Linked DNA regions of Rattus norvegicus. The protein of the gene in region 1 binds, or shares a complex with, the protein of each later gene. Links are inferred from orthologs where the notes say so. Each region holds a gene or a part of one and is shown on either strand. Other genes may lie near its edges.

Evidence for each region.
Region 2: Taf7 (region 1) and Taf12 share a complex: the UniProt entries of both Homo sapiens proteins name them as parts of the TFIID basal transcription factor complex. The link is inferred for Rattus norvegicus from reciprocal best matches to the Homo sapiens genes TAF7 and TAF12.
Region 3: Taf7 (region 1) and Gtf2b share a complex: the UniProt entries of both Homo sapiens proteins name them as parts of the TFIID-containing RNA polymerase II pre-initiation complex. The link is inferred for Rattus norvegicus from reciprocal best matches to the Homo sapiens genes TAF7 and GTF2B.

What each region holds. Positions count from the first base shown.
Region 1 is NC_086036.1:29,710,676-29,714,667, reverse strand, and holds Taf7 (transcription initiation factor TFIID subunit 7), read left to right. Parts: upstream 1-1,343; 5' UTR 1,344-1,578; intron 1,579-1,955; 5' UTR 1,956-2,016; coding exon 2,017-3,042; 3' UTR 3,043-3,492; downstream 3,493-3,992. UniProt on the Homo sapiens protein: The TFIID basal transcription factor complex plays a major role in the initiation of RNA polymerase II (Pol II)-dependent transcription.
Region 2 is NC_086023.1:149,755,452-149,759,693, reverse strand, and holds the start of Taf12 (transcription initiation factor TFIID subunit 12), read right to left. Parts: upstream 2,801-4,242; 5' UTR 2,725-2,800; intron 2,680-2,724; exon of another isoform or gene 2,655-2,679; intron 1-2,654. UniProt on the Homo sapiens protein: The TFIID basal transcription factor complex plays a major role in the initiation of RNA polymerase II (Pol II)-dependent transcription.
Region 3 is NC_086020.1:234,426,490-234,430,533, forward strand, and holds the start of Gtf2b (transcription initiation factor IIB), read left to right. Parts: upstream 1-1,244; 5' UTR 1,245-1,253; coding exon 1,254-1,270; intron 1,271-4,044. UniProt on the Homo sapiens protein: General transcription factor that plays a role in transcription initiation by RNA polymerase II (Pol II). Involved in the pre-initiation complex (PIC) formation and Pol II recruitment at promoter DNA.

The DNA.
Region 1 (3,992 bases):
TCTGAATTCCAGGCCAGGCTGGGATAAGCCAAGTTCTGGATCCAGGAGTGGTGCTGCACACCTTTAATTTGCGCTATACTTTCTGCAGGAGGCCTATATAAGGACATTGGAAGAAGGAAGACTCACACTTCTTCAATTGCTTGCACTTACTTCTTACTTGCCAGCACATCTGTTGGTACCCACTTCTTCAAGATTCCAGTTTATACAGAAGACTGGGTGAAAGAACTAACCTCGTGGGACTGAGAAACTAGATTCTTGAACTTTCCATTCACAGCTGCCCATTGTTGGGTTAGTTGGGCTACAGACTGTAAATCATTACATTAAAATCCCTTAATGTATACAGACATTCCAGAATTTCTGTGACTCTAGAGAACCCTAACAGTACAGACAGTACCAATGGGCAAAACAAAAACAGACCTAATTATCAAATTTCATAGTTTTGAGAAAGTCTCTAATGTACTAACCTTGTTTTTTGGCTTCTGTAGTTCTGTCTCTGGAAAGTGGTTTTTGTAACAGAAACATGCCAATGTAGAACATTTGTTTGTGCTTAAAAGCTCACCCTGAGAAAGCCTTAGGGCCACACTGGGATCCAGAACACCCAATGTAGTCGCTGGCTAGCTAATACTTTATATTGGCTTAAAACTATGTCCAAGCAGCCTTCTTTGGTGGATACCCAACAACAAAATCAGAACGTTTGTGTTTCAGGCAAGGCAATTCTGTTCTTAATGAACCTGTGTCATCATAAAAACATTTGTATACAGTTATATCTATCAAACATATTACCAAAATAGCGTATCATACATATCACACCTCGTCCTCTGGAGCCAAAAATACTAACGAAGCTAAAGGCTTAGTTCCTCTCAAAGCTAATTAACATGATTATACACAGCGTTATGTGGTAGACAGCAAAACTGTATCATTCCACTGTTTTGGCCACTTTACTTTCACTTTGTGATGCTTCCAAAGCTTTTGGCGGAGGGACCGGGTATGCCCTGGGAAGAAAAGATGCTTTCTGCAGGGACGCCCTTTATCTCTGGCAATCACTCTAGAAACTGTCTTAACCCACGACTTCATAAAAGTGCTGTCTTAGGGGGTGTGCTTATGTTTTACTTTTTGGAATCTTCATCTTTGAATTCCAAGCCAAGGTTTTTCCGGAAACACTAGTTTTAATCCTATACAAGGTAAGTTCTCACGAGAAGTAGTCACGAGACGACGTAATTACGAGAATGCGCCTGCGCGCGCCGCGACGTTACTACTTCCGGAAGAGCGGCAGCCAGCCCCTCCGCGTCTACTTCCGGTCTTTGACGTAGCGCCGCGTCTGCTTCCGCTCACTGCCGTAGCACTTTCTTTCCTTCTTTTCTGCGTGGGAGGAGGCTTGGCAAGGTCCTCTCCGGAGTTCGGATGTTTGAGCGGCAGTGTGGCGAGGTTTCGCGCTGCGGGTCCTGAGCCGTTTCGTTGTTAGCGCTCAGGTCGCCTTGCCGGGCGGCTGAAAGCGCGGACAAACTGGAAGGTAGACGCACCGCTCATCGCTGCTTTACTCAGGCCGAGAAAAGCTGAGTTCATAGTTGCTGGTGAACTGTAAGTACCCGAGCCGAAGAGCTCACGACTTTTATTTAAATCTCTTACTGGAGAGAATCCGTGGATTGGGATTGCCTGCCAGACGGACGGACTGTGCCTAAAATCCCCTCAGGCGCTGCTGTTTTCTTTGGCTGTTCACGTGATGCTGCAGCGGCGTCTAGAGGCCCTAATTTGGTATTGCATCTAGTAGAGGTGTGAGTTTAACAGGGACAATGCCAAAGTGGGATGCATGTTTAGAGATTAGTATTGGGACTTAATTATAAATTAAGACAAAATAGGCAGTAGGTGATGATCCACTTAGTTGCTGTTTTCCTTAGAACTCAGTAACTAAGAGTTTAAGATTATTCTTAACCTTGTCCTTTTTTTAACTGTTGTAGGAGCTGGAACTTGTTAGTGCAGCAGGTGTTTATTGGAGAAGTAATTCACAAGGAAGTGAAGATGAGTAAGAGCAAAGATGATGCACCTCATGAGCTAGAGAGCCAGTTTATCTTACGGTTGCCCCCAGAATATGCCGCTACTGTGAGGAGGGCAGTGCAGTCTGGGCACGTCAACCTGAAAGATAGACTGAGCATTGAGTTACACCCTGATGGGCGTCATGGGATTGTCAGAGTGGATAGAGTGCCCCTGGCTGCAAAATTGGTAGATTTGCCGTGTGTTACGGAGAGCTTGAAAACCATTGATAAAAAAACCTTTTACAAGACAGCTGATATCTCTCAGATGCTTGTAGCCACAGTAGATGGTGATCTATACCCTCCTGTGGAGGAGCCAGCTGCTACTGCTGATCCCAAAGCAAACAAGAAAAAAGATAAGGACAAAGAGAAAAAATTTGTTTGGAACCATGGAATTACTCTACCTCTAAAAAATGTCAGAAAGAGAAGGTTCCGGAAGACAGCAAAGAAGAAGTACATTGAATCTCCAGATGTGGAAAAAGAAGTAAAGCGGCTGCTGAGTACAGATGCAGAAGCTGTCAGTACTCGTTGGGAGATAATTGCTGAAGATGAAACAAAGGAGGCAGAAAATCAAGGCCTTGATATCTCCTCTCCTGGAATGTCTGGCCACAGGCAGGGCCATGACTCACTAGAGCATGATGAGCTTCGAGAGATATTCAATGACCTCAGCAGCAGCAGCGAAGATGAAGAAGATGTAAACATCATTGACACTGAAGAGGATCTGGAGAGACAGCTACAGGACAAGCTAAATGAGTCAGATGAACAACACCAAGAAAATGAAGGAACCAATCAGTTGGTTATGGGGATTCAGAAGCAGATTGATAATATGAAAGGCAAGCTTCAAGAAACCCAAGACAGAGCAAAGCGCCAGGAGGATCTCATCATGAAGGTAGAAAACCTGGCTCTGAAGAACAGGTTTCAAGCTGTTCTGGATGAGCTCAAACAGAAGGAAGACCGGGAAAAGGAGCAGCTTAGCTCTTTGCAAGAAGAGCTGGAATCACTTCTGGAGAAGTGAAAAGGTTGACTTTAGTCCTTAGACTAGTCAGCTTAAGAAGAATTTATTTTCAGAGTGAGGTCTTGAAAAATTCTTCTTTTTTCTTTGAAATATTCTTATTTCCTGTAATGCTAGGAGTTATTGTGTTGATTGTTTTCACTCTTAAGAAAATAGGATTACATAGGCAGATTTGTTGTAGTGTAAGGTTAGTGAAGTGACAACACTGAGCTTTTAATCACTTCACCATAGGACTTTATTACAATTTGTTTCCTAAGTTTCTAGTCCTATTCTTCGGTGCTAAGATCAGTAAGAAGCTAGCTAGCCTACAGGCAATGGAGTGTTTTTTTTTTTTTTTTTTGTTTTTTTTTTAAGAAATATATTTTTTTACCTTCTCAGCAAGTTTCCATGTTACAGAAATGCAAGTTTTTTCATAAAAGTTGTTTTTTGCACAATAAAAGTTACTAATTTTCACTTTGCTTATCTTGTTCTTCAATGAATACTGAAAGTTGAGGTGAGCTCATGGAGTTTAATGGCTGAGTGGTATAGATCAAGATACATGCTGTTGTTTTGCCTTTTTAGAAAAGGAATACACCAGATAAGGAAATGGAGAAATTCATCTTTGCATTATAGATTATGGTTCAGGCCTACCTACACCATCTGGAGGTTTGTGAACACTCGGTCCAGAGCCTTCTTAAACTATCCTACTTTTCATTGAAGGATATCTGTCTATATCTTTTTATTAAACACTAAAGTTATCTATAAAATACTGGAAGCAGTTAAACAGTTATCAGATGAACTATTCCACTTGCTTAGATTAAGATTATATTCTTAACTGTTGCCATTTTAATTGCTATGCTTTTTTAATAGGCATGTTTGTTCATGTTATTTCATTAGTATTTGCCACTATGAAAGCCTGTTACCAGGTCTGGTATTTTAAAATTTCATACATAGAATTTTTCTCTGAGGCATTT
Region 2 (4,242 bases), on another chromosome or scaffold:
GCAAAGCCCTGGGTTCGGTCCCCAGCTCCGAAAAAAAGAAAAAAGAAAAAAAAAATGGCACCAGAGGCTTTAGCTTTACAAATCCTCCCTTTGCTTTGTGGATGGTCTTTCTCGTGTGCCGGCTGTACAAGTCTCATCACCCTTAGTAAAAGTCTTAAAAACTAATAGTAGCGGCTAAGCTACCGGAAAAATAATAGCTTCAAGGATGTTAAAAACGACAATAACAAAAAAAAAAAAAAAAAAAAAAACTTTTTCAGAGGATAATTTTGGGGTTGGGTCTCTCCTTCCATCACTCAGGACTCAGAGACTGAACTGAAATCATCCCTCTTTGTGACAATCACCTCAGCAGAAGAACCACCTCACCTGATCTGCTTCTTTTTTTTTTTTTTCCTTTGAGATAAAGTCTCATGTTGACATCGAACTCCTAATTTTCCAGCCTCTACCTCCAATGTAATGGGATCACAGTCAAGCACTATGATGCTTGGCTATGTTAGCCCAAGCGTCCACATCTAGTACACACTAGCAATTAATGATGTCGCCCTAATTTTCAAAAAAATTAAATATAACCTGTTCTATTGTAGGAGTCTACAAATATTTCTCTTTCTACCTGGAATATCTATGCTTCTGTGAAAACACAGGAACTTAAGATCTCAAATACTATGGAGGTATCCTAAACGTCACAGTCCTTGACTTTAAAAGGAGTTAAGGAAGAAGCTGGGTATGATGGTGCAGCTTTGGATCCCAGGGCTCTGAAGGCAGAGGCAGGTGGCTCTCAGAGTTTGAGGCCAGCCTGGTCTACATAGCAATTTCCAGGCTAGGAGGAGCTAAATAGTTGGGGGAGGAGGGGTGTGCTTTCATTCAGTGGCAGGCTTTATAAATATTATGTATATTTTGCTCACATGCAAATTACACATGGAGGGGAGTCCACTTAGGAAAGTTCAAGACAGTTTTAGAGGCACATCTGGGGATAAGCTACTCCATACTATGCTGTTTAAGACAAACTCCTTATCCTCTATGGACATAAGACATAGTACAACATGACTAACCATACTTAACTGTGGAATTGTGATAACAAAGTAATGGAATGCTTGAAAGTGTTGAAGTTGTTCATGGTGGCACACACCTTTGATCCTAACACTCCCAAGGCAGAGACAGGAGGATTTCTTGGGGTTTGAAACCGGACTGGCCTACAGAGTGAGTTCCAGGATAGCCAGGGCTACACAGAAAAACTGTCTTAAAAAAGGAAGAAAGAAAGAAAGAAAGAGAGAGAGAGAGAGAGAGAGAGAGAGAGAGAGAGAGAGAGAAAGGAGGGAGGGAAGGAAAGAGAACAGAACAAACAAACAAAAAAAAAACCCAAAGTGATTAAGTTTTGCCCGATTCATCTGAGGAGGTTTCAGTCGTGGATCTTTATGAAGAGAAACGACAAGGTCCAAGTCACTCTTCTAAAAGCAATCCCTAGAAAATATTCTAGGTCACATTTACTTGTGAATTTCTCAACACATTTTTGAAAAGTAAGTAAAATGGGTTTCACTTAAGTTTGTTTCCTCACATTGTAACACAATGCCATAATAGGTACTAAAATATTAAAATCCATTAAAAAAATCCCTTCTGAGTTTGAGGGTAGAGATTCTAAAAGCATTTTATTCGAGTAATTTCAACCAAGCATCTCTTATTTGCTGTACATGGTAGAGGTCGGTATAACCGAATTGGCTCATAGTGATGCTAATCTTTCTTTGGCCCCTCTTTTCCTGAAATGTAAAAGAATTCAAAATGATCTTTTGCTGCCCTTCCATCTATGACAGTTTGCTTGTGATGCAGAGATCTGTGCTCCACAGGGACTGAATGGAATAGGGCTTAAGTAACATATATATATATATTTGAGTTCAACCGCTTTCAACTTTATATCTGATTCACAATAATGAAGAAAAACGAAGATGTTTTGTGTGGGTTTTCTAGATTAAGTATCTGACACAAGAAGCAGCCTAAATGCAAAAAGCCAAATAGGCAGCGCCAAGAAGTCTTCCCCCGAACATATCGTAACCCTCTGGGTACAGAGAACAGATCGCTAAATCTTTTCAACCTCTTTCCCTGGAAGGTTGATCTCCCAGCCTTCAAGGACCCCTTAGATCTTCCACTTTTAGGAGCTCGGGTCCTCACATCCCTGTCCCTTCAGAAACTCTTGAGTCTGAAAGCCCAGATCTTGTCCCCAAAGAAGACCCAGTCCTCACTGCCCATTTCTGTTCCCTTTCAAACTCAAGTCTTCTCTGCCTGCTTTTCTATCTCCAGTCCCTAAGTCTTTGCTGCCCTGTTTCTGAATCCTTAGGAGCTGGGACTTTACCGTTCTGCTTCTGTCTCTTAGGAGCCCGAGACTCGGGCTCCACTTTTACCTCTCTGGAGCCGGTGTCTTCACGCCCCGTTTCGTTCCTATCCTCGCTTCCTATAAAGTACAGGGTCTTCACCATCTGTGTCCCTCTCAGAAGGATTTCCCTCAGATGCTGCAGAACTCACATCCGTCCCCGTTTCCTAAGTCTCATTCAGAGCCCGAGTCCCCAACAGCCGCTGCTTCTGCGAGCCCGAACCCCTCAAGTCCCGTCCCAAGAGCCTGGCTCCTCACAGCCCCGTCTCTTCCACAACCTAGTTCTTCCAGCACTGACCCGCTGTGGGTCTGGGTCCTGACACCCTCCTCCCGCTCTTCATCCTCAACTGCCAGGGCCCAAGACTCACAGGCAGCAGCGTCTATCTCCCCATGATATGCGGAGACTGCCCCAGTGAAGCTTTCGTCTCAGCAGCCGGTCCGACTGCGCGGCCCTCCCCAAGCACTTCCGGCACCGCTCCCCGCCTCCAACCCGGAAACGCGCGGCTCTTCCGGCCGCCGGGCGCGCGCCTGACTAGCGCAGGCGCAGACCTTACTACAGCACGTGGTTGAGCTGTGAGCCTAGCGCCTATCTGGTCAGTTGTGTTTTCTGCTGTGTGTTGTGTGGCTGACTGGTGGACCAACTGCATCTCCTACCTCGGCGTGAATCCCTGTCCTAGATGTTTCTTTCCGACTCATATCTAGGTAACCAACGGCCTCGGAGGGCTTCCAAGTCGCCATTTTTGGTTGGTGCCTTTGTCGTGATATGAGGATGGGACCTCAGTTCGGCATAGATTTCAACTATTTGGCAGCTCGAGAACTTGGGGACTAGAGAGGCTGATTGTGCCTATTACTTAATTTCTAGCTCAATAACACTTGAACGAGAGCTGTCTGAGGAAGTGGTTAAGTCCTTCACTTGGAATGTCATGTACTAGTGGAAGAAACTTGTGTGAAATTCTACCTAAGAGATGTAGGTTCTCGACTTGAACTGAAAATTCTCACTCCAAAGCCCGGGATGGTCCAGTAACCGTTAAACCATTAAGTCCTGAGCTTTGAGTACATTTTTTGTTATTTTCCCTGTTCCAAGTGCTAGGCATGTAAGCAACACGCGGTTTTAGCCCCTGGCAAGGATTCTCAGTAAAATGGAAATCTTGCAAACCGATGTATACATGTCTAACATCTCAGCTACTAACGGTTCCCGCCCAAACAAATTCCATTCCATCTTTCCATCCTCTTCCTATTAGGCGCATCCACCCTCCCGGTCCAAAGTCCTGGATGCAAGAGCTTAGTTACCATTAAGTGGCAAACTGACTATAGTCTGATTTTTATTTTGGATTTATTTTATGCGTAAAAGTGTTTTGTCTGCATTTATATATGTATGCCATGTTCATGGCTGGTGCACAAAGAGGTCAGAAAAGGGCATCTGAAGCCTTGGAGTTGAAGTTACAGATAGTTGTGAGCCACCATGTGGCAACTGGCATTGACCATAGATCCTCTTCGAGAGTAAGAGATTCCTTAAACCACTGAGCCATCTCTCCAGCCTCAGCGTTATTTTTCTATCATGGTTCTCCTTAGAGAACAAATCAGTTGCTACTGTTGCATTCTTCCATCTTTTTTTTTTTTTTTTTTTTTGCTATGTGCTGGGTGTTTCCTGTGGGGGAAGTCAGACAAATTTGTCTTTAAGAGTTTACAGGCAAGTGCACGAGAGGTAAGAATAAGGACTGTGAGTGATGGAGGGTCCTGAGTCAATGCTCAAGACTAAGAGAGCCAGCATGGCTGAAGCTCGGTTGGGTGACAGGAAGGGACAGCTGGAAGAGGTGGGAGGGTTCTGTTCAGTGTGCAGTGAAAAGACATGGAAACTGAGGAGTGAGATGGGAATTTGTATTTAA
Region 3 (4,044 bases), on another chromosome or scaffold:
TTACTGAGTTTTCGTCTCAGTGGAAGATGCCCACCTTGTGGTTATTTTGATTCAGATTTTGTCCACTGGGTTTATTTACAAGAGTGTATCGTTATTACCTTAAGGAAAGAGGGTGGGACCTGAGACAGGGTCTCACTCTGCAGGTCAGGCTGGCTTGGGATTCCAGACTGCCCACCTCTGCAACCTAAGTGCTAGAATTACAGGGGTGAACCACAAGACCTGCCTTATTATTTCCAGGTTGGTACGAGTTTAGCTGATTAATGCATCTGGGCCCTAGGACAGTCGTTAGCTGTTTTATCAGTTTTTCTATACTCAGCTTTCAGTCAAATGTCCAATGATGATTGGGGAAAGACAAAAACCTGGGTCATAGCAGGGCCAGACTCTCTGTCTGCCTCACAATATATATGGCTATCACTGGGCTCTCTTGGATCTCTTGCAATTCTAGAAGGGTTTGTGAGGCAGACACCCTCTATTCCCTACACTATTGAGGTAAAGGACATGTAGGAACTTTGAATCATGTTGGTCTATGACAGAGCTTGAATTGATAACCTGTTCCTCAAGACAACAGCTAATTTCTCTTTTTATTACAAATTCCTTAGGGCAAATGAGAGATTCAATCAGACAGGGAAAACTGACTGAAAAATAAAAAAGTGGTTTGGTGTGAGGGCTTTGTCCCTTTCAACCAACCTGGTTTCCTTGTGTGTTGTTTGTTTAAAGGTGTTTGTTTGAAACGTGGTCTGACTCCAGATCCTCCTCCGACCTTCTTACTGCAGGAATACAACAGGAGATCTGAGGCAACTCCCATTTTAATCTGGTCTGTTTGAGAGCTAGCTCTGGTGCAGCTCATCCTGAGACTCTTCTTGCTTTGGCTTTTTGTTTGACTTGTTTGAACTTTCTCTCCTCCCACCACTCCCCCACCCTACCTCCGGCTGTTATGGAGCTCCTAGTGTAGACCGGGCTTCCCCTAAACTCACAGAGATCCTCCAGCCTCTGCCTCCCGAGATTAATGATGCGTGCTATCACGCCAGGCTTTGAAATTTTGCCTATTAATAAGCAGCCGAGAGCCACGCAGCAAAGAAAACCAGGAAGTACACAGCCCGCGTCGTCATGCACCCAACACTTTTTGGCCTTCCTCCCGACCCGTAGCTGCGCGGAGTGCGCGCGAGTGACTCGCACATAAAATCCCGGCTCGGGGCGTCTAAGAGCCAGTGCTGCTTCCTGCTTTGGACGGAGCTGTTGGCGGAGCCTTGAAGATGGCGTCGACCAGCCGGTGAGTGCAACGGCCTCCGAGCGAGTGGAGATGGGGATCGCGGGGCCGAGGCTCCTCCAGAAGGCCGCCACGGGCGTCCCTTGTCCGCCTGAGTCATCGCCCCCCGGGCTTGTCCCTGCGGATCGGCACGGCCCCGACCTCCGTCTCGGTCGGACCCTCCAACCGTCTTTGTGTCATGTTAATGTTTTCTGTGTATTTCCTCCCTTATGGCCCATCCGGTCTGAGGGTCCGAAACCGCCTTTCCAAAAGCTGGGGAAGCGACGTTCCAGGACCCTGTCGATCTGACAGCCACAAAGTTGAGAAACGTCAACATTGGTTGTCTGGTGGAAAGGGTCGCCAGCTCAGTGGCTCCCCCGAGAAGTGGAAATGAAAGCACATACGGAGACTTGATTCATTCTCCTAAAAGATCCCACCCCCGTCCCCACCCCGAAAAGTATCATTGCATACTCCGAAGGAGATGCTGTCTGCAGAAAATTAATTACATATGCTGGAAGTCATTTTAAATGTATTTTTAAAACGCAGTGCACTTAATATCTACAGGAAATGCGTGTTGTGTCCTCAGAGACGGCCTTTAATCTTGTGACCTGCAAAATGCTTTGCAGACCCTAATTATATATCTCTTGTAACCACTATGAGGTACATATTAGTATATTGGCATATGTGTAAACTGAGTCATGCTAGCATGTTGACCTTTCCAGTGCCTAGTATACCTATTTGTGATTATCATTCCACTGGTCTCCAGTTAACACAGAATGTACAGAAAGTATCAAATTAAGTTCTTCACTACTGGCACTTTTTTTCTGAAGTGGTTACTCTGTGTGGAGTTGCTAAACGTCACCACAGGAAGCCATTATTCACCAAAACCTCGGCCCATTCTGGGAACCTCCAAGTCTGCGGTTTATTATAAAAAGTGGGAGGTGGGCATAGGAAGCCGCTTCAACTTCATGTGTGGAAGCCATGGACACTCTTGTTTACTGATTATGGTTTAATTAGATTAATTATGATTTAATCATTCCATCTGGGTGTGGTTTTATCAGGTAAGGCTTCCTTGTAGGGACATGGGAACCTTCAGCTTCCCCAAATACTGTTGAAATTTCCCATGGCTGACGTGGAATCTGAGTGTGTTCCTATGTAGGCATTGCTTGTCTTTCCGTATGGAAAAGGAACTCCTATATTCTTGAAACACAAGTGGTAGTGTTTGAATAGTATACATTGTAAAATCACTGGTTACAATTTTTAAACTTTTCTTCCCTTAAAAATTTCCTTGAAATTTATTTTTTTCTGGACAGCCAGTTTTTGTTTTTGAGTTACTGGTCTAGAATCTTCCTGTCCACCTTGAAAGCTAGGGGATTGCAGATATGCCTGGACCTCATCCAGCTTTTCAATCTGTCATTATTGTTCCTATCATGTTTTTCCACCAGTGTGAGTAGAGAGAAGTCACTGGTAGATTTTTGCCTGAGAGTTTGTCCTTGAGGGTGGTATGTCGTTGGCACTGGCTGGTGTTCATTTTCCAGGAGGACATGTCCCGAGGGACGCCTACTACTTATTCTGACTTCAGTAACTTTGACCACCATCTCTAAAATGAAAATAGTGCCTGTCTTTCAGGATGTGTAGATTGAGCTTCAAAATGTATTTGGGGCTGGGGAGGGGCTCCATGGTTAAGAACAGTGGCTGCTTTTCCAGAGGACTTGGGTTTAATTTCCAGCACCCACATAGCAAGCTCATGAACTCTAACTCCAATTCCAGGGTATCTCTTCTCCTGTCTCTGTAGGCACCAAGTCATATTCATGCTTCACAGACAAACATGCAGACAAAAAGCCATACTAAAATAATGTTCAAGGCAGTATCATTTAAACACACTGCAGAGTTCTTGATGTTTCCCTCTCTTAAATGCTAGGGATTGAAACCAGGACTTGTATATACTAGGCGAGCATTCTCCCACTAAGCTACATCCCCAGCCTCTTTGCCTACTTTGGTTTTTGAGACTGTAGAGTAAGCTGCCCTGCAACTCTTATGTACAGTTAGTTATCGGTGAGCGCCATTCCCAGTCCTTGACCTGCTATTTACTTATCTACTTATCTATTTACCTTTTGAGGCAGCCTCACTCTAGTCTATGTATAGTATAATATATAGTATTTTATATATATATATATATATGTATATATATTATATAGTATTAGGGTGGCCTCGAGTTGATAGAATACCTTAGTTCTGTTCCATCAGAGCTGGCTGGATAGCCTTGTTGGTAGTGCCAGACTATGTTAATCCTTACCATACTGTTAGGTTAACTTCCTGCTTTGTTTATTGCTCTTATTCTGCTAACATTTCCCTTATTTTAGCAGCTTTTTGATTTTTATGTATACTTTCCATAATTTACTTTTTCTCTAACAAATTTACAGAACAACTGCAAGTATAAAGCAGTGTCTGCCCTCTCCCATTTTCCCAATTAGAAAACTCCAGGATATGTTTTAATTAAGCAAATAAGTCTGGTGGTTTACATGTGAATTCTTTTAAAAATCAGCTTCCCATATGACTTGGTTGTTGGTAGTTAGGGAGCTGGAGAGATAGATACCTGTGGGGAAGGGCACTTGTTGCTTTTGCAGAAGACCTGCACACACACAGTAACTGTAATTCCAGGGCATCCCTGGGAACTAACCATTAAGACAGTACAGCACACACATGCAGGGAAAACACACATAAAACAAAAAAATCCTTAAGAATAAGTGAATAAAAAACAATGTAGTTGCTAAAACATTCTGAATCATACTAGCTAG